Linked DNA regions of Alligator mississippiensis. The protein of the gene in region 1 interacts with the protein of each later gene in a pairwise test. Links are inferred from orthologs where the notes say so. Each region holds a gene or a part of one and is shown on either strand. Other genes may lie near its edges. The genes, in order: TMEM79, RNF8, pulmonary surfactant-associated protein C and SLN.

What was found.
Region 2: the proteins of TMEM79 (region 1) and RNF8 interact in binary tests that used the Homo sapiens proteins (3 or more experiments, as listed by UniProt). The two-hybrid records come from large-scale screens. The link is inferred for Alligator mississippiensis from reciprocal best matches to the Homo sapiens genes TMEM79 and RNF8.
Region 3: the proteins of TMEM79 (region 1) and pulmonary surfactant-associated protein C interact in binary tests that used the Homo sapiens proteins (3 or more experiments, as listed by UniProt). The two-hybrid records come from large-scale screens. The link is inferred for Alligator mississippiensis from reciprocal best matches to the Homo sapiens genes TMEM79 and SFTPC.
Region 4: the proteins of TMEM79 (region 1) and SLN interact in binary tests that used the Homo sapiens proteins (3 or more experiments, as listed by UniProt). The two-hybrid records come from large-scale screens. The link is inferred for Alligator mississippiensis from reciprocal best matches to the Homo sapiens genes TMEM79 and SLN.

The regions. Positions count from the first base shown.
Region 1 is NC_081838.1:17,491,878-17,499,548, forward strand, and holds the start of TMEM79 (transmembrane protein 79), read left to right. Parts: upstream 1-4,662; 5' UTR 4,663-4,767; intron 4,768-5,703; 5' UTR 5,704-5,787; coding exon 5,788-6,541; intron 6,542-7,136; coding exon 7,137-7,350; intron 7,351-7,671. Other genes in the region: nonsense-mediated mRNA decay factor SMG5, read right to left, coding at 1,202-1,278.
Region 2 is NC_081824.1:169,948,570-169,956,143, forward strand, and holds the start of RNF8 (E3 ubiquitin-protein ligase RNF8), read left to right. Parts: upstream 1-4,556; 5' UTR 4,557-4,680; coding exon 4,681-4,764; intron 4,765-7,335; coding exon 7,336-7,464; intron 7,465-7,574. Other genes in the region: AARS2 (alanine--tRNA ligase, mitochondrial), read right to left, coding at 2,680-2,868, 4,257-4,490. UniProt on the Homo sapiens protein: E3 ubiquitin-protein ligase that plays a key role in DNA damage signaling via 2 distinct roles: by mediating the 'Lys-63'-linked ubiquitination of histones H2A and H2AX and promoting the recruitment of DNA repair proteins at double-strand breaks (DSBs) sites, and by catalyzing 'Lys-48'-linked ubiquitination to remove target proteins from DNA damage sites.
Region 3 is NC_081830.1:21,484,346-21,491,311, forward strand, and holds pulmonary surfactant-associated protein C, read left to right. Parts: upstream 1-3,950; coding exon 3,951-3,992; intron 3,993-4,117; coding exon 4,118-4,264; intron 4,265-4,692; coding exon 4,693-4,833; intron 4,834-5,446; coding exon 5,447-5,557; intron 5,558-6,422; coding exon 6,423-6,539; downstream 6,540-6,966. Other genes in the region: LGI3 (leucine-rich repeat LGI family member 3), read right to left, coding at 1,099-1,310. UniProt on the Homo sapiens protein: Pulmonary surfactant associated proteins promote alveolar stability by lowering the surface tension at the air-liquid interface in the peripheral air spaces.
Region 4 is NC_081824.1:437,318,205-437,324,757, forward strand, and holds SLN (sarcolipin), read left to right. Parts: upstream 1-4,089; 5' UTR 4,090-4,249; intron 4,250-5,377; 5' UTR 5,378-5,485; coding exon 5,486-5,581; 3' UTR 5,582-6,039; downstream 6,040-6,553. UniProt on the Homo sapiens protein: Reversibly inhibits the activity of ATP2A1/SERCA1 and ATP2A2/SERCA2 in sarcoplasmic reticulum by decreasing the apparent affinity of the ATPase for Ca(2+). Also inhibits the activity of ATP2A3/SERCA3.

The DNA.
Region 1 (7,671 bases):
GCAAGATAATCCTTCTTGCCCTGAGCTATCCCCACCCCTGCCACTCTGGGTTACTGTCCATGTTTCTTAGCTGGAGGAAAACGATGAAGAAAGGGATGACTGTGCTACAGGCTCAGAGCAAATTAGGATAGGAAGAGAGCCCAGGAGAGAGGATTCCCTGTCCCTAGGGGTGTTCTTCAAAGCAGGGGGATGACAGCACATGGCAGTGCTCTGCTCACAGGGATCGCAGCAGAGCACCTTGATCAGAACCATAATTATTCCCCGAATCACGTCTTCTGTCGTCAGTTTTGCTGCACAATGCAGAGATTTCAGTGAAAATGGAACAGCAGGAGGCTCGGGAAGCAGAGCAGAGCTCGGGAGCGGTGCTGGGGGAGTGCCAGGGCCCCCAGCCAGAACTGCGGCCCCGATGTGCTGCCAGGCCACCGAGGAAGACGTGGTCCCTTAAGAGCCACGCAAGTTCAGCATCCTCCCGCTGTACCGGCCCCCGGGGACCCCCGGCATCTAGAGACTCGCAAGGATTTAGCCGTTTCCCTCTCCTCAGAGGGCTGATGATGAAAGGGGCGTAGAGCCCAGCTCTGCAGCTTGCCCCATCTGCCACGGCACAAGTGAGGGAGGGGCAAGAGGACAGCCCTCTCCACCTCCCTGCCGCTTCCACTCACCCTCTCCCTTCTGCCCCCATACATCCCTTCTCACCCCCGTACACCCAGCCCTCCACCCCGCACAGCCTGTCCGTCCCACCCCACCTCAGCCCCCTCAACCTCCTTCCCATCTCCCCTTCCCCATCACACCCCAGCCCCCATCACTCCCTGGCCAGATCCTCCTCCAGAAGACCCCATGACCCCCCTTCCCCTCTCCTGACTCTCTTCCCATCACATCAGCCCCTGCAGCCCTAAACCCTCCCCCCCCCACTATCCTCCACAGCCCAGCCCCGACATCCCCTCTGCTCCAGACCCCCCAGCCCAGCTTTCAGCTCCCAACGCCCCCCCCACCTTTTCCCACGGCCTCGTCCCCCCCCCCCCGCTGCAGCCCAGCCCCTCGCCCCCTTCTTCACAGCCCGCCCTCCAGATGCCCCCTCGTCCAGCCCAGCCCAGCCCCGACATCCGCTCGTCTCCAGGCCCCCTTCCCCACAGCCTCGCCGCCCTCCCCTCCAACCCCCCCGGCTCCCAGACCCCCGCTCCCAGCCCCGCCCCCCGCTTCTCACCGGTACAGCCGCTTGGTGTGCAGCACCTTGGCCTCGGGCTCGCCGCTCTCGCCGGGAGCGCCGCTGCCCTGGCTCATGGCGCCCGGCGGGGGGGGGCCGGGCCCAGCGGCTGCCGCCCCTCAGCAGCGCCCGCACGCGCCCCGCTCCGCCGCCGCCGCCGCCCCCCCGCGCGCCCGCCGGCCCCTCGCGGCCGCCATCGCTGCGCGGCGCTGCCCCCCGCCCGCGCCACGCGAGATTTCGCCCCCGAAGCCTCGCGAGAGCTCGGCCCCCGCGCCGCGCCGCTCCGCACGCGGCTGGCAACAGGGCAGGCGGCTCGGCTTCAGCGCGCGAGATCCCACCGCTCAGCCTCGCGAGAGCGGGCCTCCTAACCGCCTCCCTCCCAAGGCTCGCCGACGGCCAGGACTTAGTGCTGGCAGCATGGCCGCCTCCCGGCTTCACTTGCGGTTCAAATAAACTTTATTGGAGGCTTTGTTCGTCAGACAAAATAGGAAGCTCTGGCTTTTGGGTCTTTCTTTTTCATGCTCCAGCGACTGGAGTCAAGTGAGACTCTCACCCTTTGTCCAAAGTCACATTCTAGGGTCTTAATTGCAGAGACTAGCGTAAAACCTTGCCCTGAAGCCAACCCACAGGCTCAGAAGCCAGGGGGCACAGGGAAAGGAGCCCCATTTTCTTTGCAAATCTCCTGATTTTTTTAGGCTTGCCGCCTCTTCTGCAATCCCTCGGTGCTGGGCATCCCGTTCACATCCACATTCACTGCCCCCGAGCCAGGCTGCATCTGGCTTCTCCTCTCTCAACCCTGCTTTAAACCTGCTGCCACCCAGGGACTCGCTCCTGATTTACCCCATGGCAACAAGAGGGTATACTTGGTCCTGGGAAACCAAGCCTGTTGCACTGACTTGGATAGCAGTCGGGCCGTAAAGTGGCTCAAGCCCTGAACGCCAGTCGAGCCCCGGGCTCTAGTCCAGCAATGAAAGGCATGTTTTTATAACGAGTTGGTAAAACAGCGATAGGTGTTTGATGAGCGAGGCAGAGCTTGAGGTGCCCGAGGTATTCAAGGCAGAGGAGCAGGCACTGGGCTGGGATCCAGGAGATCAGGCTTTTAAAGGGGAGCCTAGGTCTTTCCTATGTAGGTGGCTGGATTTTTAACAAAGCATTTAGCTGCCTCTTTATACCCCCAAATAACCCCAAAGAACTTGACCCTAGAGCTCCATCTTCTTCATTCTCCCAGCAGTCTGCTTTACCACCCAAAATTCATGTCTGTTCCCTGCCTGCCTTGATTGTTAAGATGCTAGGGGCTTTGAGGTGGGGATTGCCTTGGCACAGGGCCCACCACATCCACAAATACCTATGGTAAAAATCCCACCACGCTAAGAAAACTTCAGCTCATCTTCTCTGGGTTGTGAGCAGGGTCACCAACCCTCCAGGATTGCCCGGGAGTCTCCAGGAATTAGATATCAATCTCCAGGAGACTGCTGAGAGTCACCCGGGAGATAAATGATAGGGCATGCATTGAAATAAATATTACATGTTGAATCCGATTTATATAGTAGTCCAGGACACTACTATTTGTATAGTAGTATATTTATATTTATATAGTAGTACTATTTATATAGTAGTATATAGTTGGTTTTAAAAATGAAATAGCCATGTGCATCTGCCTTCCTGATATAAAGTCATTAACGTCATTACGTCATGTAATGAAACCTCCTGGAATAGAGTCAAGCAGAGTTGGCAACCCTAGCTGTGAGGCTTTCCACTCCCCTGACCCATGGAGGTTTAACGTAGATGGTGCCTGGGAGATGGATCAAAGGTAAAGAAATTGAGACACACATTGAAACAATGAAAACTGTTCAAATCAATGGGTGCAGCCCTTTCCGAGTGAAGTCCAAGTCCTACCCACCAGGCAGGGCTGTGCGGACACATTAGGGAGTGAGTGAAGATTAGCTTCCTTGGTGAATTCCCTTCCTTTTCTGGGAGGTTTAATTAAGGGCATTAATCAGGTGAATTAGATCTCATCATGTGGGGCTGGTTTTGCAGAGGGGCTGCTAATACAGTCGGCCTCCACCTTAATGCACTTCCCTGGAAAGGTCGTTTTATTTTGGTCAATTTTAGGTAGAAAATGACCTTTTCCCGGCTGGCTGGGATCCACCACCTCTCCCCCTCTGTGGGAGGCTTAGGACGAGTACAAATTCCAAGTTTGTTCAGAGCCAGGTGGGAAGTCACTGCGCAGAGCCCCTGTGCCCGCCAGTCTGCTGTGCAAACGAAACATTGATCTCAGAGAGGGCCACGCAGGTCAGCGCTGGGTCTGTCCTTGCACGTCTGCTTGCACGTGCCACATTGTCCCAAATGCACCCCTTGTGCATGCCCAAAGGAGCACACGTGCTGACAGCGAGATCACCATACATGTTCCCTGTTCACCCATCACTCACAACACCCCCCTACACAGACATGTAAACACGCACCTGCATGCCCCGTATTCAAAAGGAAATGCAAAACTCTAGAACTCTTGGTTCAGAGATGATCCCTTTTATTAGACCAACAGAGAAATCACAAAAAATTACTTTTTCTGCAAGCTTTCGGGCTCAAACACCCTTTATCAGGCTCAGGGAAAATTAAAGATGGTAAAAAGTCCCCATAGATAAGAAATAAACTTAATTTTTGCACAGAGGAAGCTGAATCCCGAAAGCTTGCAGAAAAAGATCTTTTTTTTTTTGCAATTTCTCAGTTGGTCTAATAAAAGGCATCATCTCTGAACCAAGACTTCCAGATTTTTGCATTTCTTTTTGTCTCAGACCAACATGGCTACCAAAACATGACAGTCCCATATTCACACACACGTGCATCCTAGTTATTGCACACGAACTCCACATTGAAGTACATACAATATGTACTCTCACAGGCCCAGACATACTAAAGTGCATCAAAAATATGCACCTGAAACATATAGAACAAAATACAGGCGTATACCCTAACATACCATAATGCCACCCACAACATGTACACCACACAAAAATGTATGCACAAGAGGAGAATAAGCCACATGCAATATCACACACATGCTCACTAACAAATATATACACTCTTTCCCGTGTACCTACGTACACATACACACAAAATCAGTCACAATCATGCACACACACACACAATCAGTGGACACACATACAAATGCACACACATATGCACACTCACAAGCACACACATACATACATACACATACAAACTCACACTCAGTCATGCGCACACACCTACATAGGTATATATGCAAACTCTCACAAATACACATGCATAGAAACACTCACAGTCATGCATACACACACACATGTGTGTGTGTGTACACGTAGGTATGTACTCCCCTCCCATGGGACGTACCCTCTTCTGCCAGCCGAGGCAGTGCCCAATTGGGTGAGGCAGGCCTGCCCCCACCCCTTTAATCCCGGCCCCTGTGTTGCTGGTTAAACAGGTTTGAAGTCCAGGCGAAGGAGCAGAACTCTAGAGCCTTTGGCTCCGCACCGGTTCACCAGCTGCCTGTTCCTTCATGGCCCCACAGAGCGCCCAGCGCCTGGCCGGTAGGTGACAGTGCTGGGGGAGCACAGCTCTGAGCTCCCCTGCTGGAGTTAGGGGAGCCGGGGTGCCACCCGGGACCAGGACAGGGTCAGGTGGGGGCTGGGGAGGGTGAGACATGCCAAGCAGGGCTCTAGGCTGTGTCCCCTGCTCTGCTACTGCCCTGTCACTGCCTTGCTCCATGCCCCAGTTTCTCCTCCTGTGAAATGGGGGTGGCGATCCCACCCTTCTTTGCCTGAGCAGCCAGGCATGCGCTGATATATCATGGGCAAGGCCCCAGCTCTGCTACCTCGTGTTTATTTGGGAGCCCTTCCTCTCAACCCCATGTCCCACATGGAACTCTTCCTGCCTAGACTTCCCTGTGCCATTGCGGTCAGATCCCCAGAGCTGTCTCAGGGGAATTGCTTGGCTTCAGCTCCGGCTCTGTTATCTAGCTGTGTTCAGAGCCATTAACCCCTTGTTCCCCCCAGGGGCATGGGAAGGATAGGCCTACCTCCCCCCACTCAATTCAAGGCGAATCCCAGTTCATTTCGGAGATTGGAGATCCTGGTAGCAGGGCATTGTGCAACCGGTGCATGTCTGCACAGCACATGGCCTGATCTCAGAGCTCTTCCTTGTCCTTCCTGGAGTCCAACCCCTTTTGGGGAACTCACTGCTCCCTGCGTGGCTTTCTCTGTCCGACTGGTGCTGAGGCCTGGAGAGCAAAACCTTGTGGGGGCTGTACATGGCACAGGAGGGTGACTGGAAGCCAGGACACCCGGGTTCTTTGCCTGGCTCTGCCACAGATTCACTTGGCGGCCTTGGGTGAAGCATTGGGCTTCTCTCAGGGCCTCCAGCCTGTAAAGGATGGAGCACAGGAGGGGTTGAAATCAAGGCTTTATACAATGGGTGCATCTTGGGGGCTTGGGTGCGATGGCCAGGTCTGCGTGTCTGTTCCACAGCAGGGTGAAAACAGCAAAGGACAAAGCCGACAGAGGTGACCCTTGTCACACCGGCCTCGGCGGCCAGCTGCCCACAGCACCAAGATGATGGCCATCGACCCCGTGACTTGCATGCAAGAGATGACCCTGATAGAGCTGAAGCCTCTGGCCCCCAGTGCCACGGTGGAAGAGGGGGTGTCCCTGGGGAACCACCAGCCGGGGGACCCCGACACCACCCTGCCTTGGGACCAGTCCCAGTGCGGCTCCGGGTATAAGGAGACTGGGGAGCCCCCAGCCCTGGCTAAGGCAGAGTCCAAGGGACAGCGGAGGCCGAGCCCGGAGGGGATCCAGGAAGGCACTGAGTTGGAGTGTCCTGGAGAGGCCAAGGCTTTCCTCAGTCCTGCCCCACTGAAGGAGCAGACAGAGGATGAAGTCAATCAGATGCCAGAGAAGGCAGTTCACATGTTCATCCCCATCGATACCTGCTGCATCGAGCGGACGCCCGGGCGCTGCAGCTCAGCAGGGACCAGCGCCTGGAAACAGCCAGTGCCTCGGCATGGCGAAAGCACCCAAAAAGACACCAGCAGCTCTGAGAAGCAGCTCTTCGTGCCCTGCAGCCCCAGGCACTACAGCAAGGAGCAGCCCGGGGTGCCCAGCGGATGCCCACCGTGCTCCAGCTGCAGCAAGGCCAACCTCAAAGCCGTGGCCTCCACGGTGGCGGCCATGATCCTCTACCCCTGCTTCGTGTACGGGGCCTACGTCTTCCTGCCCTTCGATGCCCCCCCAATGCCCAGCATGAGCATCCGGCTGGTCTACACCCTTCGCTGTGGCACCTTTGCCACCTTCCCCATCATCCTCGGTGAGCCAGGTCTCTGGGAGCTCTCTGGGTCCCAGTACAGTCTAACAGGGGGTGAGGGGTCCCTAGCTCCCAACCACCAGCGTCCTGGTGTTCTCCCTTGTCTGGGCCTGAGAGCAGCTCCTCTGACTCAGAGGAAGGCTGGGTGGTGCAGCAATTAGGACACTTTCAGTCTGGGTTTGTACAGCTCCTAGCACAGCCAGGCCAAGGTCCGGGATTGGGACACCTAGCTGCTCTGACCACATCATGAATCATCTACTCAACAGGGTGGCAGCTGCAGAGGTAGGCTCTCTGCCACTGATGCACCAAGCAACCTCAGGCACATCCTTCAGCCTTTCCAGTGCCCATGTGTACAATGGGAATAATAGGGGGGAGTGAGGAAAAGGAGTGCAAGGGTGGGTCAGTGCTGGAGCAGATTCCAAGAGGAGTGTCTATGCAAGGAGGTTTCCATCTCTTTCTCGCCCTGGGCATCATCCATGTGTCCATCCACTCACACCTCTCTCCCTTTCTGCCCACCTCCCCCAGCCCACACAGCCTCGTCTGTCTGTCTGTGTCCCAGGTTCTTCTCCTCCCTGGCCTCACCCCACTCTCTCTGCAGGGATGATTGTGTATGGCATCTCGCGCCTCTGCTTCTCGGCGCTGCAGCCCTTCGGGGAACTACGGCGGGAGGTGGAGATCCACCGCGGCTATGTTGCCCAGTCCGTGCATCTCTTCATCCTCTACTTCTTCAACCTCGCCGTGCTGGCTACCTACCTGCCCCAGGAGGCCCTGAAGCTCATCCCCTTGCTCACAGGGCTCTTCGCCATCTCCAGGTGAGGTGCGGGCCCCTCCTCTGGGCTCCAGGTGGGTCAGGGAGGGTTCAAGGGACCTTTGCCTACAGAGTCTGCTGCAAAACTGAGAGAGGAAACGCCCCTTAGAGCATTACTCAAGCTGCCAGGCCCCCTTCACCCTGCTGATGTGGGGAGGCAGAGCACCCCCTTGGCAAAACCCACCTATGTGGTCTCCCCTGCAACTACTGACCTGCTGTGACACACTTTGGGTTCACAGTCAAGCAGGAGACAAGGGAGGGGTGGGGACCACACCTCCTGCACCCCTAGCCCTGTTTGGTCTCCTGACCTCCACCCCGACTCTCT
Region 2 (7,574 bases), on another chromosome or scaffold:
AGAGACTTGGGGGTCATGATTGACCACAAGATGAACATAAGCCACCAATGCGATGTCGCAGCTGGTAAAGCAAACAAAACTCTGGCTTGCATCTATAGATGCTTCTCAAATAAATCTCAGGATGTCATCTTCCCGCTGTACTCAGTCTTGGTGAGGCCGCAGCTGGAGTACTGCATCCAATTCTGGGCTCCACAATTCAAGAAGGATGTGGATAAGCTTGAGAGAGTCCAGAGGAGAGCCACACACATGATCAGAGGGCAAGAGAATAGGCCTTATGAAGAGAGGCTGAGAGCCACTGGACTCTTCAGCCTGGAGAAGCGCAGGCTCAGGGGGAACCCGGGGGCTGCTTATAAGTGTATAAGGGGTGTACATCAGGATCTGGGAGAACATCTGTTCACCAGAGCACCCCAAGGAAAAACAAGGACCAACAGTCATAAACTCCTCCAAGACTGTTTTAGGCTGGACATAAGGAAAAAATTTCTTTACTGTCCAAGCCCCCAAGGCCTGGAATAGACTCCCTTCAGAAGTGGTGCAGGCACCTACTCTGGACTCATTCAAGAAACGTTTGGATGCTTATCTTGCTGGGATCCTTTGACCCTAGCTGACTTCCTGCCCCTGGGGCAGGGGGCTGGACTTCATGATCTTCAAGGTCCCTTCCAGCCCTAACATTTATGAAATCTATGAAAGATAGCATATCACACAGCATGAAGGCAGCAAGGCAAGCAAGACAGGCCTTCAGACATCTGTGGAAAACTATCAGCTTCCTAAATGTGACCTAGCAGTGCCTACACCCACTAAGTCAATTGGAGAATCAGTGAGAGTGACTCCCTATTCAATGGGGAGTTTACTGACTAGAGGCACTAGAGCTCAGTTCAAGCCTTCATTTTCCCTTTTTGAACTGAGTGCCTACCCTGCTGGAACCCTTTTCTTATCCAGGGGACAGGTACAGGACAGACCTACCTTCCCCCACACAGTTCATTTGGTCCCACACAGCCTGCAAAACAAGCAACCAAAGGAGGGGGACAGTGGGACAGCTGCTAGGATGGTTTCTGAAGTGTGGATACCTGTTCACCAGGCACCTGAAACCAGTCACCATTACCTTCAGGAAGTCACAGGACCAGAGAGTTGGACTAGATGACGCTTGAGGTGTCTTCTAACTCCCTGCACAGTAGCAGGAAAGAGCTCTGTATAGATAGCATGCCACCCAGTGCTCCCATCGGAGATACATTGTTAAAGCCACAGGTTCACCAAATTTTCCTAGCGTTGCTTGTACTTCTATACAAGGATCACTCCATGCCTCCTATCTGGTGTAACCCAACACCCATCCTTCCCCCCTCCACTCCCCACAAACTGCTCCCCTTTTCTACGTAAGAGTTAACAGAATATTTAATACGTCAGTAGTCTTTTTATACACACACACACACACACACAGTTAGGCAGCTGGTGAAGGTGTTATCATTTTAGACCACCCGCATACGCTCAGCACATTCCCTGGTTAGACACCCATTTTAGCCATGTAGCTCACAACAAAGAATGTAGCCTGTGTTGTGAGAAACATGCAGTCATCAAAGCAGCCAAGAGACTGTATCCGGTACAGTTATGTTTCTGGAGCCATAAGATGCACCTGACACTTTGCAGAGACCCCCTGTCCCTGAGGATTTTACGCTCTAGTGTAGGAGTGGGTAATTATTTTGGCTGGAGGGCTGCTTAGTGAGTTCTGGTGAGCCGTTGAGAGCCACACATGTAAAATTAATGGTGAAGATATCATTTTAACAAACCATAGAAAAAAACCCAAATCACATGCTTAAAAAAAACAACGAACATTATGGAATATTTTAATTTTATTTCAAAGAATAAATTTTGTCCTGATTTGTTTGGGGTTTTTTTTAGCAGTGTACATAGATGTGATTGTGTAATAGCTCAAAATAAAGTGTCTTTCTCAAGGGAACCAAAACCAGTCAGCAGGAAACTAGGCCAAGGGAGGATGCCCCCACCCTCACCAGAGCCCTGCCATCACCCAGCCATCCCCCAAATCACAAGGGAGTTCCTGCCTCAGCATGCACACTGGCACACCCTTTAGGAGCTACTTGAGCCTCAAACCCGCTTGCCTGCCCCTCACTCCTTTCCATCCACACTGGCTCTCTCACAAAGCCTGGGGAAGCCCAGCAGCCCCCTCCAACCCACCCCAACTCCCTGCTAGAGCCATGCAGGCTGCACCCCCACAGCCTGGTGGTTCCCCTTCCCCCAGGAGGAGCCCCAGCATGCTGGGAGCAGCCTCACTTGGGTGGACAGGAAGGAGCTGTGCTGGCTGCAGCCAAGAGGCAGATGGCTGGGCTGGCTTGCAGTGCTGCATGGGGCAAGGGAAGAGGTGGGGACAGAACCAGAAGGCACTGGGTTACCTTTGCCACACGGTCCTGGCACCCAACGGGGTTCCTGCCAGCTCCATGTTGCAGGCAGGCAGGGCACCGCCAGCCCAGCCTGAGCAGGGGTGCCGGGGCCTGACAGTGAGGCAGAGCCAGGCGGGTTGGTGGGCAGGGTTGCTTCGACCTAGCAACATGTGGTGCCACCAGAGGCCGGAGCTGGAGCTGCTACCCACCCACAGACTGGACAGAGTCAATTGGTGGGCTAGATACAGCCCCACAAACCATATTTTGCCTACCTCTGGCTTTAGCATCTCACCTTGAAGTAATCCCCGAAAGACCAGCTCCCCAACATCTCAAAGAAGGTGTGATGGTAAGTGTCTCTGCCCACATCCTCCAGGTCATTATGCTTCCCACCAGCACGCACACACTTCTGGCTGTTCACCACACGCTGGTACTGGGCCAGCTCACTCCGGGGATCTGCCGTGCCCAGGAAGATGGGCTTGAACTAGAACAGCAATGTAAAAGTGTAAACATTTTCAGACGCTGCCTGGTACAATGGACTCCAACTGTGCTGTGGCAACTCTGAACAAGGAGGAAGGCACCTAGGGCAATTAAGGGCTAATTGCAACATAGGCAGATGGGACAGCTCAGTAACTGGCTCTGTTTTATCACAGCTGAAGCACATCAGGGGACTGCTCCAAATATCTGAAGAACAGAGAAAGCACCTGTTTTCTCTTGCTGCAGAGAAGACATGGACCAATGGCTTCAAGTTGCAAGAAAGTGAGTTGAGATTGGACATCCAGAAAAACTTCTTCACTGCAAGACTAGTGAGACAGTGGACCAGACTCCCTACGGAAGCTGTGGACTCCCCATCACTAGAGGTTTTCAAGAGGTTGGACACTGCTCGGGGGTGATCCAGGCATAACTACTATGGGCATTTCCTGTGCTTTGCTGGTTGCCCCCTCCCTCCCCTTGTCTGCTATAACACGTGTACGGGTGCTTTTATGCCTTCCCAGAAGCACTGCGTATTGGCTATAGCTAAGGCTGAAGACTTTGGTCAGGGTGTGCCAATGCTCCCACTGGGACCAAATCCAGAGGTTCCTGGCTAGAGGGTTTTAAACCTCTGCTCAGGGTCAGACCGATCATCCTATCTGGGGTCAGGAAGGGCTTTTACCCCTGTGACCAGACCAGTATGGACTGTGGGGGGTTTTGCCTTCCTCTAGCAGGGGGTGTAGCTATCTAAGATCTCTTGAATGTATACTGGCAACATTTAATAGAAGCAGGATGTTGGCTGCTGTGATTCCCCTGCTTTACCTGGGGCAGGTTAGGGTGCTAGGTCTGTGTTGTGTCAGGGCTGATGGTAGATTCATGCAGAGGCTAGATTATGATTTGTACAGAATGGTTTGGACAGGGATGATCCTACCTCAGGCAGGGGGTTGCACTAGATAACCTCTGGGGTCCGCTTTCAGCCCTACTTCCCTATGACTGTGGAGGGGAACGAGACCTGCAGCCTCCTGGCTGGGGCATGGGAAAGGCACCCCCCAGGCTCAGCCCAGTCCCTGCCCTGCTTGACAACGTGAGTGAAGGGTGGGTGCAGGTGTGGGATACAAGCCTCTTCCAGGTGGCCTCACCAGGGTAGGCCCTGCACAGGATACACCAGCTGCACACACGTGCACGTGTACACGCACTCCCATCCAGACGCACATGGGAACACACATGTACACACACATACATGAACATGGACACACACTTGCACGTGTATATGCACTCCCATCCAGGCACTCTCACACACACGCAGGTGCGCACAAACACACGCATGTGCATGCACGCAGGTAGCCATCCCTGGAAAGGATGCAGACGCGTGTGCTCATACAAACACGCATGCGCACACACCTGGTTCATGCCCGCGTTGACGAACAGCAGCGCGGGGTCCCCGCGGGGCCGCACCGAGGCGGAGGGCAGGCGGCGGTGCCGATGCCGCCCCTGGAAGAAGCTCAGGAAGGCCTCACGCACCTGCCCCGCGGCGGGGCCCGGGCCGGCGGCGGCGGAGCAGCACGGGCGGCGATACCCGCAGCGCCAAGCGCAGCCCCGACCCGCCCCGCGCAAGCCCCGCAACAGCCCCGCCATCTTGCGGACAGCTGCGGGCGCATGCGCGAGCACCGCACTCCCAACAGCCCCTGCCACCGCCGCTCTTCCTAGCTCGGCCATCCATTGTTCCACCTGGCCGCCCCCCTGCGCATGCGCCGCGGCCCCCAGTCGCGCGGAGGCCCCTCCCCACCTCTCCTAGGGGAGCGATTGGTCCTGCCTGCGGGGCGGGATGGCGGAGTGTGGTGGCCGGTGCTGGTGTCTGAGGCGCCTCGGCCAGCACGAGCAGTGGCTGCTGCTGCGGGGCGGCGCTGAGGTGCGCGGGCCAGGGGGGCTTCGACCACCGGGGGAGTGGAGGAGGAAGGGAAGGGAAGGGAAGGGAAGGGAAGGGAAGGGAGGAGTTTTATGTTGATTTGAGGTAGGCTCGCGCTTGCTGTGTCAGGTAGGTGGGAGAGCCAGCCTTTCGCTCCCCTCCCCACCCCACTCCCGGCTTTGGTAGTCTAAGGCCCCTGGTACCTGTTACATTATATTATGTCATTCACCGGTGTGTCGTGCAGCAAATGTTGACCGGCCACATGTGCAAAGTCATGCCATGCTCTGACAGTGACTCTCTGGCTCTGAAGAGAGCCAACCGCTTATGAAGTTAGTGCTTGGAAATGTGTACCAGCTCTGTCGTCGCCACGTCTATGCACCCGTAATTTGTCACCTGTAATTACGCTGCTGGTGGCAGGGGCAGCCCCTCGATTTGAGGATGATTTCTGCTACGACTCATTGATGAGTCTTGAGGTGACCTAAATATAGGGTGCAGTTAACCAGTTAATTGTGTGATCATTACTTTCCACTTGTGGCCGGTCTAAATTTATTGTTTAGTTAACCAGTTGATTGTGTAATATATGTAATGTGTATATATACCAAGGGCCTACGGATGCGTCCAGACAAGCGCACGTGTGCGGTTTGTTGTTCCACAGACCCTTCAGCGGCGCCACATACCACATGCACCACACATACAGATGTTCATAGTACTGCTAATTTGCAGAGGTTTTTTTGAGAACAGGAGATCCCAGTGTCAAAAAAACCCACACCAATAAAAAGTGGAGCAGGGCATGTGGCTGCAGCGTGCGCCACACAAAAACAGAGCCTGGATGATCAGAACCCTACTCTGGCTGCTGGCTAGGCTCCTCTGCACGTATGGATTGCTGCCACTGAAACCCTGGTGGCCCCTCCCGAACATCTAAATGTCGCTGCTGTTTGTCCCCGAGGAAATGCATGTGCATGCTCATCTGGACGCATCCTTAGAGTCCAACCCTTGAGCCATTGATCTGGCCTGCAGGCAGGAGAAGAGAACTAACTGCCAATATTTGTAAGTTTATTGCAATGCATGGTTTTAGGTCTCATAACTTACCTGGGCTACAAATCAAGAAAATCCTTTCTTGAAATCTTAATCAGTGGAAATTTGGATAGGCATGCAGAAGCTCACAGTTTACGATTTGATTTGCTCTTCATACAAAAAGGTTCTACCGTGTTTGTGCGAAGTAGTTCGCCAATCACGCTTACAAACTCAGCGTGGGCTCTGAAAATTAAGCTGGTTTCTTTCTGCCAGGCTCATCTTCATCAGCAAAGCTAATTTCCTTAATGTTACTTCTCTGCAGTCTCCACTGAAGGCACCATGGCTTTTCATAGATATAACGGTAGAATTTGCCCTTGCAGTTGAAATTTAGTTCATTTTCTGATACAGGAGGCAGGCAGGAAACCAGCTGATTCTTCTAGCTGAGGTAACTCTTGAAGTTTAGGAAGAATAGAAACATATGACTTGTCAGGTACTAAAACATGATTTTGAATGCCCAGGGAGATCTCTTGGGCAAGGGAGTATTGTACATGGTTAAATTTCTGGTGTTAATGGCAGCAGTGGCTAGTAGGTACTTGTAGTACAGCAGCAAAGAAAATGCAATCTAAAAATTTAAAGAGCAAAGCTGAATAAATTCCCGATTCTACCTGAAGCGTAATCTCTCAGGTAAGAGGCCCTACAGCAGTGGGTCTCAGCTTTTTTAGACTCAAGGCACTCCTGGATAGTCTTGAGGCACCCCTCCGAAGATGCCAGCTCTTGATCTTCACTCCTTTTTTGACTACAGAAAAATAATAGTTCTGTTGCAAAGAGCTCAGAAAGACCGCAACTAAAGATTTCTGTTTGAAATCTCTGGGTTTATTTTGTGAATCATGTTTGCATACCTAACAGTGCTAACATAGTGTGGCATCCTGTGGCACCCTTGAAAGGATCTCAAGCCACTCCAGGGTGCTGTGGCACCCTGCTTGAGAATCACTGCCTTAGAGGAAGGAGGAGCTTAGAACAGGGGTGGGCAATTATTTCGGGCAGAGGGCCATTTACTGAGTTTTGGCAAGTCATTGAGGGCCACATGACAGGCAGCCGGGGCAGATAAATATTCATTTTCTAAATTTTTTAGGCGCCACGCAGGCCAGATAAAATGGCCTGGTGGGCCGCACGCGGCCCACGCACTGTATTTTGCCCACCCCTCGCTTAGAAGCTACGTGGTTATCTGGAAGCCTCTGAAGCCTTTGTTCTTCTTTATTTTTATGGTCATTGTCTTCAGTATCAGAGGCGGCAAATTGTTTCTTTTTTCCCCAAAAGGCCCAAATACTTCCACTTTTCAAAGGCTTCCATTTACTGTTGGCACTTAACTTTATCAACATGTTACCTTTCTTGTGTTTAAATTTATAAATAGTAATCTTTTTGTTAAGGTCAGTTTACTGCTTTAATTTCCACTGTGCAAAACAAATTCAGTGACCATTTTCCTTGTATTTAAGATCAAAGCATATAGAGCACCCATTCTCAATTATTGGTAATGTCTGTTGTTAAACTTCTTATTTTTAGGTAACTATCGGTCGAGGACTTGGTCTCACCTACCAGCTAGTATCAAAAATCTGCCCGCTGATGATCTCTCGCAACCACTGTGTTTTCAAGCAGAATGAAGAAGGCCAGTGGACAGTCAAAGACAACAAGGTTAGGGTTACTATATTTCCAGGATCAAAAAAGAGAGCATCCCTCTGCAGGGGGGGGGAGGCTGCACGGGTAGCCAGCAGGGGTGTGGGGAGAACAGGGGGAGAGGTATA
Region 3 (6,966 bases), on another chromosome or scaffold:
ACCAGCACAGTCACCAAATGCACGCAGCAGGCAAAACCCAATTCACAGTCACCAGCCAGCCTGCAGACAGGCCCAAAAGCCCAACACAAGTACATGCCTCCTTCCGCACACACACAACTTCAAAGCCCCTCAGGCTGCAATCTTAAAAGGCCAAGCTTCAGTATCTTGCTTCCTAAATTACATTAGGTTAGAGTCCATGGGGTGAGCTAATATTTATGCTCAGGTCAGGAGATATCACTAGGCAAAGGTTGGTGCACATGTACACGCACATGCACACACACGGGGATTGCTAGGGCAGCAAGAATCAGAAGTGTATTGCAAGGTTTTGTGTCTATTGTAGTAACTAAACCAGTGACAAGAATCCTCTGCCTGTTTTCTGCATTGAAAAGTGTCCCCTGAGATGGCAACACATTAGGGAAAGTGTGTCCTGGTAGCATGTACACACACACACACACACACACACACACACACACACACACTCTAATACTTTACAAGGACAGATGCACAGATACTAATTTCCTAACTTAGATGTTGTTCACTCACATCTTCATGCTTACATGCATGCACACATGCACGCTCATATGCACATAACATGCTTAGACAACATGCATGCCCTGCATATATGCACAGATCCTGTGTGCTTTCAAGATTCACATAGATGTTGTGCACATACACACAGCTGCACACATGCACACGCTGAGACGCACACAGCCCCTTCAAATGACCAAAGAGAAATGCGTGCACACACGCACGTGCACACACACACCTTGCACTAAGACGCCTGGTGTGGTCACGGAGAGATGCTCCTGTTCACACACACAGAGTTCTTTTGGACACAAACAAGCCCCTATGTCCTGCCCACGTGAGGCACACACTGCGTGCTGCCCACACAGAGGGTCATCCCCAAGCGAAGCCCCAACAACCCCATCCCGATGTCACCCCAAGCAGCAGAGACCCTACAGTGGCATCCAGGGCCCTCAGCTTTTTTATCTCAAGTTCAATCCAGCCCACCCCATGGCTCTCAGCCCCCAACCCAGAGATCCCCCACTGTGCCCAACCCTGTCCCCCCACCCAGCACCCAGCCCCAGTGATACTCACAGGGAAATGACCTCGGGGGGCAGATTGCGAGGCACTGCCTTGGAGTCCACACAGAAGGCGGTGTCACGGGTGCAGGAGCAGCTCCGGGGGCAGGGGGGCAGCTTGGGCCCCCTTTTAGCCCCCACAGGCAGCCCGAGACAGGCCAAGCCGAGGAGTAGAAGGGCAAGGATTTGCCCCCTTGGCACCACTTTCCCTATCTGCAGCTCAGCCATTGCCCTGGAGCAGCCTTCCTCCCCTCCAGAAGAAGGCTCCCCCCTTGGGCTGGGGCTCCTGCTCCCCGCAAACCTGCTGTGTAATCCTCCCCACCTCTCCGTGCTCTGCTCCTCAGCCCAGCAGCTGCAGTGTGCAGGCTTTCTGTGCCTCCCTCCCTTCCTCCCTCCCTCCTGCTGAGCCTGAGCCTGAGCCCTCCGAGTGACTTTAATATTCAGCTGAAGCAATCCTGGCAGGAAGGATGCCACAGTCCATCACGCTGCTCTGCAGAGCACCACACTCGACTACTGGAGGAGCGGGGTGGGAGGGGGATGGAAGATGTCCGCTGCTGGATGATTCGTCCAAGTGATCTCACTGCTAAGGGCTCCTATCTGGTGCATGGGAGACTGTGTGTGTGCCCACACACATGCACACACGTGCAATAGTGAACATGCATAGGTGTGTGGAAACTCCAGGCAACCAAATGTATGTGGATGTATGTACATTCAGTGTGCAGCCATATGTGTGTGCATATGTCTGTGTCTGTGTCTGTGTCTGTGTGTGTGCAGACTTCACACAATCACGGTGCTCTCCTGCAGGTATTAGGGTCTTGTATATATTCTGGGCAAAGACGTGTGCAGGTGGGAGTGTGTGGACATATTACGTACACATGCATATAGCAGGCAACAATGTACATGTGTGTGCACACATAAAGCATACAACAGTGCATGAGCAGGTGTGTTGTGTATGTATTCTGTGTAATAACGCACGTGCCAGGAGGAATGTGTGTACATAATGCGTGGGCTCCTGTGCAGACAGGCATCATGGTGCTTGTGTACTGGACAGACCTGTGCTTGGGTCTCCACGTGCCAATTTTGCATACTGGAATGCACACATGCATGTGTGTGAGTGTGACAACACTTGTACAGGTATGTGTGTATATGTAAGGCACCGGCAGTGTGGATGGCACGCAATGTATGAGCCTGAGTGCAAGGCTGTGCATGCATGTGAGCATGAGCATGAGCATGAGCTGCAGAGGGCTGGGACTGGGTTCCTGAGGGCTGGGGAGTTGATGTGCGACTGCCTGGCTAGTATGTGCACAGGCTGCCTATGCCCCAGATATGCGTGCATGAACACCGATGCACATACATGTGTTTGAGATCATTACAGGGGAGTTTGCATCTGCTTGACACAAGAGTTGTAGCCTGGCCTGAGCCCCCAGCCTGATTCTTTCACACCCCTCTGGGTACTGGGGTCTGCAGTGCCCTACCAAGACCCCCAATCTTCCCCTTTGCCCCCTGCATCCTAACTGTCCCACCCCCATCCTATCTGACCTGTCCCTGGGGAGCCATACTGGAGCTGCTCCTGGCTAATTTATGAGTCAAAAACTGGGTCTCAGCTGCCGTCCCAGGCACCGCTCTCTCCCAGCCAACAATGAGTGATGGCTCTATAGAGGGCATTCTTACCCGCTGCAGCTGGGCAGTGAGGCTGAGATGCTGGCAGCAAATAAACAAGAACCACAGGGCTTAACAAAGGCAGAGCAAGGGGGGAGTAGCCGCATACCAGCCTGGGGGGTCTTCCCTTAGATCCCGGGTGGAGAGGGGAGATGGGTAGAGGGAGCTGCCAGCTAGAATCCCCCTCAGGGCTTCACTGAAACAGTGAAGTCCAGTTGATCCAGGCAGTTTCATTTGTTTGGCATGGGGCTCTGCTCTATCCAGATTTCTCCAGGGTGGGCACTTTGCAAGGAAGCAGGAAGACTGGGCACAGAACATCCTGTACTGAGCAAGGAGAATACCCCAGGCCACTGAAGGGGCTGGCACGCACCCAGAGTCTGCAAAGCCATCACAAAGACTGAAAAGTGCTGCCTGGGTTCGAACACCTAGCCTCTGCTCCGTGCACACTCTGGACCTGCAGGATGAGCAGCTTACAGGTTGCAGACGGCGTGCCACGACCACAGTCCCTCTTTGTTCCTTCCCAAGGTTCACAGGCAGCTGCAGGTGGGGTCGGAGGCAATGCAGGCAGGTGAAGGTCTGAGCAGCCTCGAGCTGGGCTACAGGTTGGCTGGCACCTAGCAGTGAGGTCAGACGTCACTTCGGGACAGCTGGCACATTGGGAAGTGCCCAGACCAGGCCAGTCAGCAAGCAGTGGGAACCTGAGCTTGGATCTGCACAGCCTGGAAGGCCCTTAATTTTCAGCTTTTCCTTTGAATAGCTGAAGCACCTGCAGGTGCCCGAGCTGTCTGGGAGACCTGGGGTGCCGAGCCAGGCCATACTGACAGGCTGGAATACTCCAACCCCAAGGGCAGCACCAGGCTCTCAGAGTGGGTTTGCTTTGGCCCTCATATTCCTTGCAAGTACATCTTCTGGGGCAACAAAGAGCATGGAGCCAATCGTAACGTGTACAAGTGCCCCCAGGGCCAAGAGCCCTCAGAGACTCTCAGCCAACAGGTTCCCAGGGGCTTATCTGGGAGCCGGCTCTGAAGGGCCCCGAGCAAACATAGCCTGCAAGAACTCCTGACCTGGAGCCAGAGAACCTGGAGAGTCCCAGCGCCGCTCTCTTCTCCAGCTCCTCAGCATCCGCTATATAAGCCTCTTGCCACCCACAGGCTCTTCAGAAGCTGGCAGGACACTGGAAAAACTGAAGACTACAGGACAAGGGGAAAGATGGACATTAGCAGCAAGGAGGCTCTGGTAGAGGCGCCTCCGGTAAGGAGCATCCTCACACCCTTACCCTCGATGAATCAACCCCTGACCCAGGGCCATCTCCTGCGATCATACCCTGGTTCCTCTTATGTCTAGTGCTAACCTTCTCTCCTCTTGTGCTCCCCCAGAGGTACACAGCCTCCCCTCGGCTTCCCTGCATTCCCCACCAGGTCAAGTGTCTCCTGATTGTTGTGGTGGTGCTCGTGCTCCTGGTTGTGGTGGTCGTGGGCTTCCTCCTGCTGGGCTTGCACATCACTGAGAAGCACACAGAAACGGTAAGTGGGGCATTACCCACATGCAAAAATATATGCATCACTGTGCTAGTGCTCGGGGGTGGCCAAAGGGGCTGCTCTGCCATGTACACAGGTATACAAAGAGAGTAGGTGGAGCTGTGGGCAAGTGCAAATGGGGTTTGTGGCAGGATGTTAGAGGAATGGGGCTTGATTAGCAAGGCCAGCAAAGAAACCAAAAAACCCAGAAACATCTTAGCAACAACCGACGCTGGATGCTGTGCCAACCTAAGGGCCTGGTTTGCTAATGTCTCCGCTTGCATGAGGCTGGCAGGACTGATGGGGGGAGACACTGCGGGTGCCTCCTCAAGCAATGGAAGCAAGCGTCTGATGCACCATTGCCTGTCCTGCTTCAGACCACCTGTCTCCCAGCTCTGGTCAGACCTGACTCTGAGGATTTTCTTGGCTTCCAGGTGTTGCGAATGACCATCCAGGGCCAGGATGGGGAGGAGTCCCCACAGCAGCTCTCCATGAGCAGGAAGGAACGAGCAGGGACTTTCTATGTCAAGGAAGGCATCAACTCTTCTGCCATGGTCGTGTATGACTACAACAAAGTAAGCAGCTGGGCCTGGGTGGGAGCTGGTAGGTCAGACTGAGGTGGGTTGCAACCCAGGGGCCCATGCTATGCCCTGATCTCACAAGTCAAGGTGCTGACGCTGAATGAAGACCGAACTGAGACAGTGCTGGTGTTTCATTAACAGGCTCAGTCCACAGCCCCCAGATGTAAATATGCCCTTGCCCCTGGATCTCTGGGTTCTGTGGCTTGGGGCCAGCACTAAGCTGATGTCAAGTGCTGTCTCTCCACGGGCCTCTTGGAAGTACTGAGCAAAGGAGTCCAAGATGGATGTGGAGAAACCGCTCGTCAGGGGAAGAGAGTGCAAGATAATACTGCTCAGTGTTGTGTGATCAGCAGAGAGACAGGGAGGTGCACCTTTGGTCCAAATGAAAGGGCAAGAGTTAGGGTAAGGACAGGCCTATGGAAGGGGTAAGGGACTTGTAGGCTATGTGTGGCAGGCAGGAAACAAGGCACAGATGGGCAATGTGCATGCCAAAAGGTGGAAGGGGCTGCACCACTGGAAGCAGCCATGCAGCTCTGGTAAGCACAAATGAGGTGCTGCCATGAAGGAAACCAGGGCTGAAGCCAACATGTGCTCTGTCTGCAAACAGCTGATCATCAGCTACAGATCCTGGCTGGCCCAAGCCTGCTACATTACCAGGATTGACAAGGACAACATCCAGGGCCTGGACGCCATCACCAAGGCATTCCAGTATCACCAGGTGAGCACCCAGGTGGGCCTTCTGGGTATGGAGGGGAGCACAGGGCAGATGGCTCTTGAGGGTAGGACACCAGGAAAGACCAACACATTGCAGAGGATGCAGGATGTTCTTTGGTTACTTGGGAGATGGCAAGCTGCACAGTCCTGGTTCACTTGCCTTGGGAGGAACAGGGTCCTGGATACAGGACCCAGCTTTGCAGGCAACAGGCTATGTGGGGGGCCCACAACTCCACTGCTGCATGGCTATTCAGAGGATTCCTGCTGCCCCTGCCCAGGCAGCCCAGGCCCCGAGCAGCTTGCGGGGCAGCCCAAGAGCCCTCTGCCCACCCCCACAGACAGGGCTTGAATGCAGCCATATGGGGCTGCACGCATGGCATAAACTGCTTTTGTGCAGTGGCACCTGTCCAGGGCTTTCGGAGGGCTGTGCCAAGGTAATCGATCCAGCCCCGCACTCATGCAGAGCAGAGGGAAGCTATTCATTTTCCTAATAGGCAAACTGGAAGCCGAGGTGGAAAATTACTTCACCAAGGTCACCTGTCAAAAAAATGGCTAGCGGGGAAACGACCCAGAAGCCTTCACCCTGGCCCCACTACTGGACAATGCTGCCCCTCCAACATGCGTGCAAGCTCAATATTATGGCAAAGCAGTGTTTGCACTGGGGGAGCATTGCTAATGCAGTGCAGTGGTCGTGGAGGACACCTTGGAGCATCATGGGCATTGCATTCCCCAGAGGAAAAGCTGACCTGAGCACACAGTTTGGACCTGGCTACATCCAGGAGTTGTAGCCCCCAGGCCTGGCTCTAACTCACCGTGCCACTGATGGGTGGGAAACCACATGTGTCTGATTTTATTATTTCTTGTTGCAGCTCAAGCAGGGCAAGGAAAAGGAGAGCAAGGGCTTCCCTGTGCCTCTGGCTGACCGCTCCATTTTAGGCACCACTGTCAACATCCTCTGCAGCAATGTTCCCATCTACTGGGCCTAGCAGCTGCTCAGGTGGGTGAGCACAGTGAAGAGGGGCACTGGGTTTGCCCAGGAGCTGGACAAGCAGCACTGCTGGCAGCATACTTCCTCCCTTTTCAGCACATACCCCCACTCCAGCTGGAAAAGCAACAAGCCCTCGACCCAACCCCAGCCTGGCCACAAGCAAATCCCATCCTGACCATTCAGCTTCCAGCATTGAGCCAGCAAGGAGCAAGTTGAATGTGTGTCTCTATGTAACTGATAAAAAGCCCAGCAACCCACCTGCTCAGCGCCAGCCTGCTCTGCCATGGGCTCTTTCATCTGCCTTGTCTATTAAGAGTAAAATCTCCCGAGGCAGGGGCTGTGCTGCACTGTACCACACCCCACTCAGTGGGGTACCCTGTCTCAGCTGGGACCTTGCTACCACAAACTGAGTAATAAACACTAAG
Region 4 (6,553 bases), on another chromosome or scaffold:
CAGTTGCCCCATCTGGTTCAGCAGGGGTCCAATGTTGCCCCTGCTTTTCCTCTGGCTCCCCACATATCTGAAAAAGGACTTTTTATTGTCCTTGATGCTCAAAGCTAGCTGGAGTTCAGTTGCAGCCTTGGCTTTCCTGGTCTGCTCCCTACAGGACCGGACCAGTGCAGAATAATCCTCCTTGGAGGTGACTCCCTTTCCTCCATCCTTTGTAGGCCTATCTTTTTAGCCTCAGGAGGTCTGCTAGGTCTCTGGAGAGCCAGAGGGCTTTAAGAAGACCTTTGACATGGTTTCTTACCACATTCTCTCAAAAAAACTAGGTGACTGCGGCATTGATGCCTATGCAGTCAGATGGGTGACAAATTGGCTAGATGGTCGCACCCAGTGAGTGGTGGTGGATGGGTTGTTTTTGCCCTGGAGGGATGTGGGCTGTGGAGTTCCCCAAGGCTTGGTCCTGGGGCCTGTACTGTTCAACATCTTTATCAGCGACCTGGATGTGGGTTTGGAATGCATGCTGTCCAAATTTGCTGACAACACTAAGATGTGGGGTGAGGTAAGCACGCTGGAGGGGAGGGACAGAATCCAACGAGATCTAGACAGGGTACAGAGGTGGGCGGATGAGAATAGGATGGAATTCAATGCGGACAAGTGCAGGGTACTGCATCTAGGGAGATGGAACCAGCAACACACCTATAGGCTGGGGAACACCCTTCTTGTCAACACGGTGACAGAAAGGGATCTTGGAGTCATTGTTGACTCCAGGATGGACATGAGCCGCCAATGTGAGGAAGCAGTCAGGAAGGCTAACCGCACCTTGTCGTGCATCTACAGATGCATCAGAAGCAGGTCCAGGGAGGTGATCCTTCCCCTATATGCAGGTTGGTCAGGCCACAGGTGGAGTACTGTGTCCAGTTCCGGGTGCCACACTTCAAGAGGGATGTGGCTAGCATTGAGAGGGTCCAGAGGAGGGCCACTCACATGGTCAAGGGGCAGTGGGTATGAAGAGAGACTAAAGGGCCTGAATCTATTCATCCCCCACAAGAGAAGGCTAAGGGGATTTGGCTTTGCTTCATAGAGGCTGAAGTTTATGCATCTTACATCCTTATTCTTTCCTGTGGGCTGGGCTGGTGGGTCATTGTGTGGCTGGGATGAAATTGTATCACGCGGTCTGAAATAATGCCCCTGAATTATGGAAAACAAACTAGGAATACTCAATAGGTATAACATGCAAAAGGGGCATGTTAATGAAAATTCAGATTGTGAATTTACAAGCACAATGGCATTGGAACTGAAAAGCTGCTTGTATAACCAGTAGCACGTAGTGCTTGGAAATGAAAGTAAAGACCATCAGCTCTTATTCACTAAATCTCGGTGGCCATTTACAGACTCACCAGGGGGGCCAGTGGAAATTGGGTGAGACTCTGTTCCCCCGGGCACCACCCAGGGTTACTAGGAATAATGGCCACAAATTGCTCTAGAGAAGGTTCAGGCTGGACATCAGGAGACATTACTTTACAGTTTGGGCTGCCAAGCTCTGCAATTGGCTCCCAAGGGAGGTGGTACTCTCTCCTACTTGGGGGTCTTCAGGAGGAGTCTGGATAGAGATTTGGCTGGGGTGATATGACTCCAGCACTCGTTCCTGCCCGGGAAAGGGGGTTGGACCTGATGATCTGTTTAGGTCCCTTCCGACCCTAAGCACTATGATACTATGATACCCCAGTGCCACTTCAATCCCTCTCCCTTACCCAATCTGCTGCTCTGCTTTCTGTTCCCTGCCCTGTCTGCCACTGTGCTGCATGTCCCAAACAGGCTGCCTGCACTACTTGTGACACCCATGCTGGAGGCTGGCCACCTCAGTGTTAGAGTATTATCCCAGCATGGCAAGATCCATAAGTCCTTCCCCTGCCTTAGAGGTTTGAGCCCAATCTCTCATTTCCCAGTAGAGTGTCCTAACCACCTTGTTATACAATATTGTGGGATGAGGAGCTTTTGGTCTCTCCCGCTGAAGCTGCTCCACTTTCCACAATTATATTCATTCATTATATGTTAACTGGGCCAGATGGCAGAGGCGAGAGAGAGCATCTCTGTTTTCTAGTGACTAAGGTTGGGAGGGGGAAATGGCTGGATTCCAGTCTCAGCTCCGATGACTATTTTAATATTTGTCATTAAATATTTTACATGAAAACAGTCATTGCAACAGGGAACCATGTTTCCATCTCCCCAGGGGAGTGCCCCAGCCATGAAGCAACCCTTTTTTCCCCTGGCCCAATGAATAATTAGCTGGTCCTAGAAAAATGGAACAGCTCCTTATCCCACATTATCATATAGCCTGAGGTTATAGCATCATAGAAAGTTAGGGTTGGAAGGGACCTCAAGAGGTCATATGGACAAACAAAGTACATTTTAGCCACTGTAAAAGGGGGGAAGAGCTGCTGCTCATGAGTACAGAGCAGCTGTTGCAATCTGAATGGTACAAATGTATGATCCTGTAGTGATAGAAGTGAGCTAAACTGCCCCACCTTTGACCCCAAATAAAGCAGGATTTGAGTTGGCACGGTTTTGCTATACTGGTATCACTACAGAATCTTGCAGCCATCACAGCTTGTATCAGTCTCTTTTGTTACATCTCCTAGGCCTTGAGAAAATTTCATCCAAAAGCAGGCCATAGTAGGCACTTGGGACACTCTCCTGGGAGACATCGGTTCAAATACCCACAGGTAGAGGAGGGATTTGAACCTGGGTTTCACACATCCTAGATGGGAGAGCAAGGGTGTCATCACTCCCTCTGAAAGAAAGAGTGTAGGTATCTAAGCTCAGGAGAGACACTGTGATAGTGAAGCCCAGTTAGTAGGAAGAATATGTTTGCAGTCCAAAATGAGGCACACAGCTCCCTGATAGTGGCACAATAGAAGCCTCACCCCTCACCTCAGCATTTCCTAATGGCTAGTTAAGGCAGTTCCCCTCCCCCTCGCCACACACACCTTCTTGGCATCTGTGAATCTAAATCTTGGGTACCTTAGTCACCTCATCCATTGTGTAGAAAGATTAGGTGCCTAATTTGGACACTGCAAATGTTATGCTAGCTGGCAGTTTGTCATATATTCCCTATTACAACCCAAGCCCAAAATATTTGAATCAGACTCTGGTTCTTTTGCTCATGATGCTTCATTCCAGAAGAAGATACACTGATGCCAAATGGAAATATTCAGCTTATTCTGCATAAGCAGAGATGTAGTAAAACCAGGCGCAGTAGGGCAGGTAGAATTCAATGTTCTGTACAATGTAATACTTTTCTATTCTCTTTCAAGTTTACCCGAGACAAATGCTGTGTTCTAACAGCTCTGTCACTGTGTATCCATTATACAGATGCCCAGGGGCTGGACAACACTATCAATTGTCAAGACCTCTGAGCAGCGTCATTAGGGAGAAAGTCTACAATTAGTGAAGCAGCTTTCTACTGCATGCTCAGGGGTTTGGAAGGTTATACTAAGCCACAGACGGGCACTGGGCTAGTAGGCAGAATCCAAGTGACGAGGTAAATGGTACCTATCTAATGCAGTTGATCCTGATTTACAGTAGTTTGATCTCAAAACACTTTCACCAGTAAATAATATTGTATTTAATTATTGCATATCCAGTGCAAAGAATATTTTGCTCCAGTGGTCTCTCTCAGATTAAATGTATATGAACACGAGAAGCTTCAGAGACTATAATAAGAAAGTAAGACAGCAACAGGTGCCTGTGCTTGTAAAGTAAACTATGCAATCTGGACCCCATACAGTTTTTTAAAGACTGAAAATTGTCTTGTACGGATCCTGAAAATTAAATGTGGACCGTGTCAAGCACCCTTTTTTTCATTAAGGATGAAGCTATAAACTGATTAATTCCAAGCACAAAATAAATCTTTGTAAAATTCCATTGGATCCAAAGGGTTTATGCATATCCCTAACAGCTCATGCTAAGAAGAAAGAAAATGTTAATATGTAAATCTATCCATAAACCCCATTGCATAAATAGCCTTAACTGAATCCTGCTGCCCAGCTTAGCCCCTTTTACTTAGCTGGTGATGTCATCATTTTAGTTGCCAAAACACTTGTTGCTCTCCTCCCTCTTGACTACTTTAGTTCCAACACAGAGATTGGGAATCCAGATTGCATTGGGAGATAGGCAGAAGCTGAGGAAGAAATAATATCTGCATTGACCTAGGGTCCCAGAGGCTGAAATACTGGGTTCCATTTGTCTTCTTAAGGTAAAATCATGGATTACTTTATTAAGTCTGGATTTTCCATTGCAAAAATAAAATATAAAGCTGACAGAACAACATGGGGATGCTGAAATTTGCATAAGTGCATGCACTAGGCTTTTAATAGTTTACAAGGTGAACTAAGACAGTTTCCGATTAAACCCTTCTGTCTTCATTATGCTATATCAAGGCTTCTCTTATTTTCATCTTAAATGTCCTATTCTAATTTACCCTTTTCTTTAAGATTTGTTTGTATGGCTGCATATTTTTTTCTTGCCTAGAGCTTCTCTCTCCTTTCTTTAAACACTGTTCTTTTTTGACATACGAATAGTATTAAGTGGTGTACTATTCATTACACATGCTAACATTTCTCTGTGTGTTCAGAGATGCATACAAAAAACTTAACTTGCTGTGATGGAATAAATCAAGCTGTAGCTGAGGCAAAGTTTTTTAATGTAGCATGAATAACATTACTATACAAAAACCATAGCAACTTGGAAGTTCAGAATGACCATGAGAAAATCTTATTTCATTTAATAGGATTTGTTCACAAATTTTATGATGTTTTTCAGAAACAAAAATATATAACCCTGGTCCTTCCTATGGTTTTAGTAGAACATAAATCCTCAGACTTGATTTCTCTTCCAAGCAGTTCAAAAAGGCCGAGTCTGGTGGTTCTCTTAAGTTACACTTGCAGTATTAAAGTAAAAATAATATTAAAAATATAAAGAATGAGAAATATAAGAGCTTAAGCTTTGCATATCCATGAACATTTTCCACCCAATCTATTTTTAAATCTGTGAAACTATATTTCACTATTATTTTTAATAATGGTATTTTAAGTATACTGCTCTTCAAAATAATAAGTTTGGGGTTTGTATAAAAAATAACTGTCATTGCTCCCTTTCTATGTCTACTTGTCATGTGAAATGTATTTCAGAGTGACACTGAGAACATGTCTTGTCAAACAGTGGTAATCAAAGGAGGTGATAAGCTGTTAGAGATGCTTTTTGCATTTTAGCTTCTGCAGCTCATACTAACTTTTAGCAATGAAATAACATTTGCTTATATAATATAAATAGCTTTGTCAAGCTTCCTACATTCATGTATCCATGTTGTTCATGTTTTCTTTAGGAGAGGCTGTGACCTGAAGGCTAAGCTCAAGGACTCCGGGAGGAGTCTCTGAAGTTTTCCCTTTACTTCAGCTATTGACCTCCAGTCTTCCCCTGAATATTCCCAAAAATGGAACGATCCACACAAGAACTCTTCCTTAACTTCATGATTGTCCTGATAACTGTGCTTCTCATGTGGCTTCTAGTGAAATCTTATCAGGAGTAAAAGACAATCTCATGCTCCTTAAATTCATTTAAGCATGCATCTCTGCAGAAGTATGTAACACCTCCTGTACAACAGTGTGACTTCCTTTATATTTGATAATGTAATGATTTTTTTACTCTCACGCTTCTGTTGCTTGTGCTGATAGGTGTTTTAATGGGTCTATGATGATGTAATTATTATATTCTGTAGTGACCCAGCTGTAAAATGGACAAGGCAGGGTCCTCAGTAGTTGCTACATATGACTCCCAGTAGTTACTGCAAATGTAATACACTGACCCACAATGCTTACCTCTTTGGTATCACCACCAGGCTCACCGTGGTACAAGACTGTAATATTCAGTATGTGTCTTCATAAACTGAAACAAAAAAGGCACAAACTAACTTAGCTGAAAGAAAGTGGAAACTTTTCTTTCATTCACTGTTGTGCTCTCTTGAATAAAGGAGAAGATGTAAAACCATGTTTTGTAGCTCTCGTTATCTCTTCCTCCATCTTTTAAATGACTGATACGGCATATTACCCTCATTAATAACATGCAGCTGACACAGAAATTTGGTGGCTTGTAAAAAGACATGTCCAGTTAGCTACTGCTGAATCACACTGGAAATCATCTGGCCTTGCTACTGGTATCCACACCAATACCGCACGAGCTGATCCAGATCCACTTTCCTAATAAAACATCCAGAGAATAGTCATAGCTAGTCTATTATGTATGGCATGGATTCTGCAAAAGAGAGAGCCTCTGCTTTACAGCTGCTGTTGCTACATGACTGCATTTCAGATATTGGGCTTGGGTTCCAGCTCTGGGGCTAGCCTGGCAGGAGGAGAGACATGGTTCAGCTCCAGTTGTAACATTTTACAGCACCCTCAGAACTGCTCTAATCTTTGCCTGACTGCAGCTGTCCCCAGGGATGGCAGCAGCACAAGAGCACTGGAGTGTAACAGCCAGAGGAGCAACAAGGCAGCGCCACACC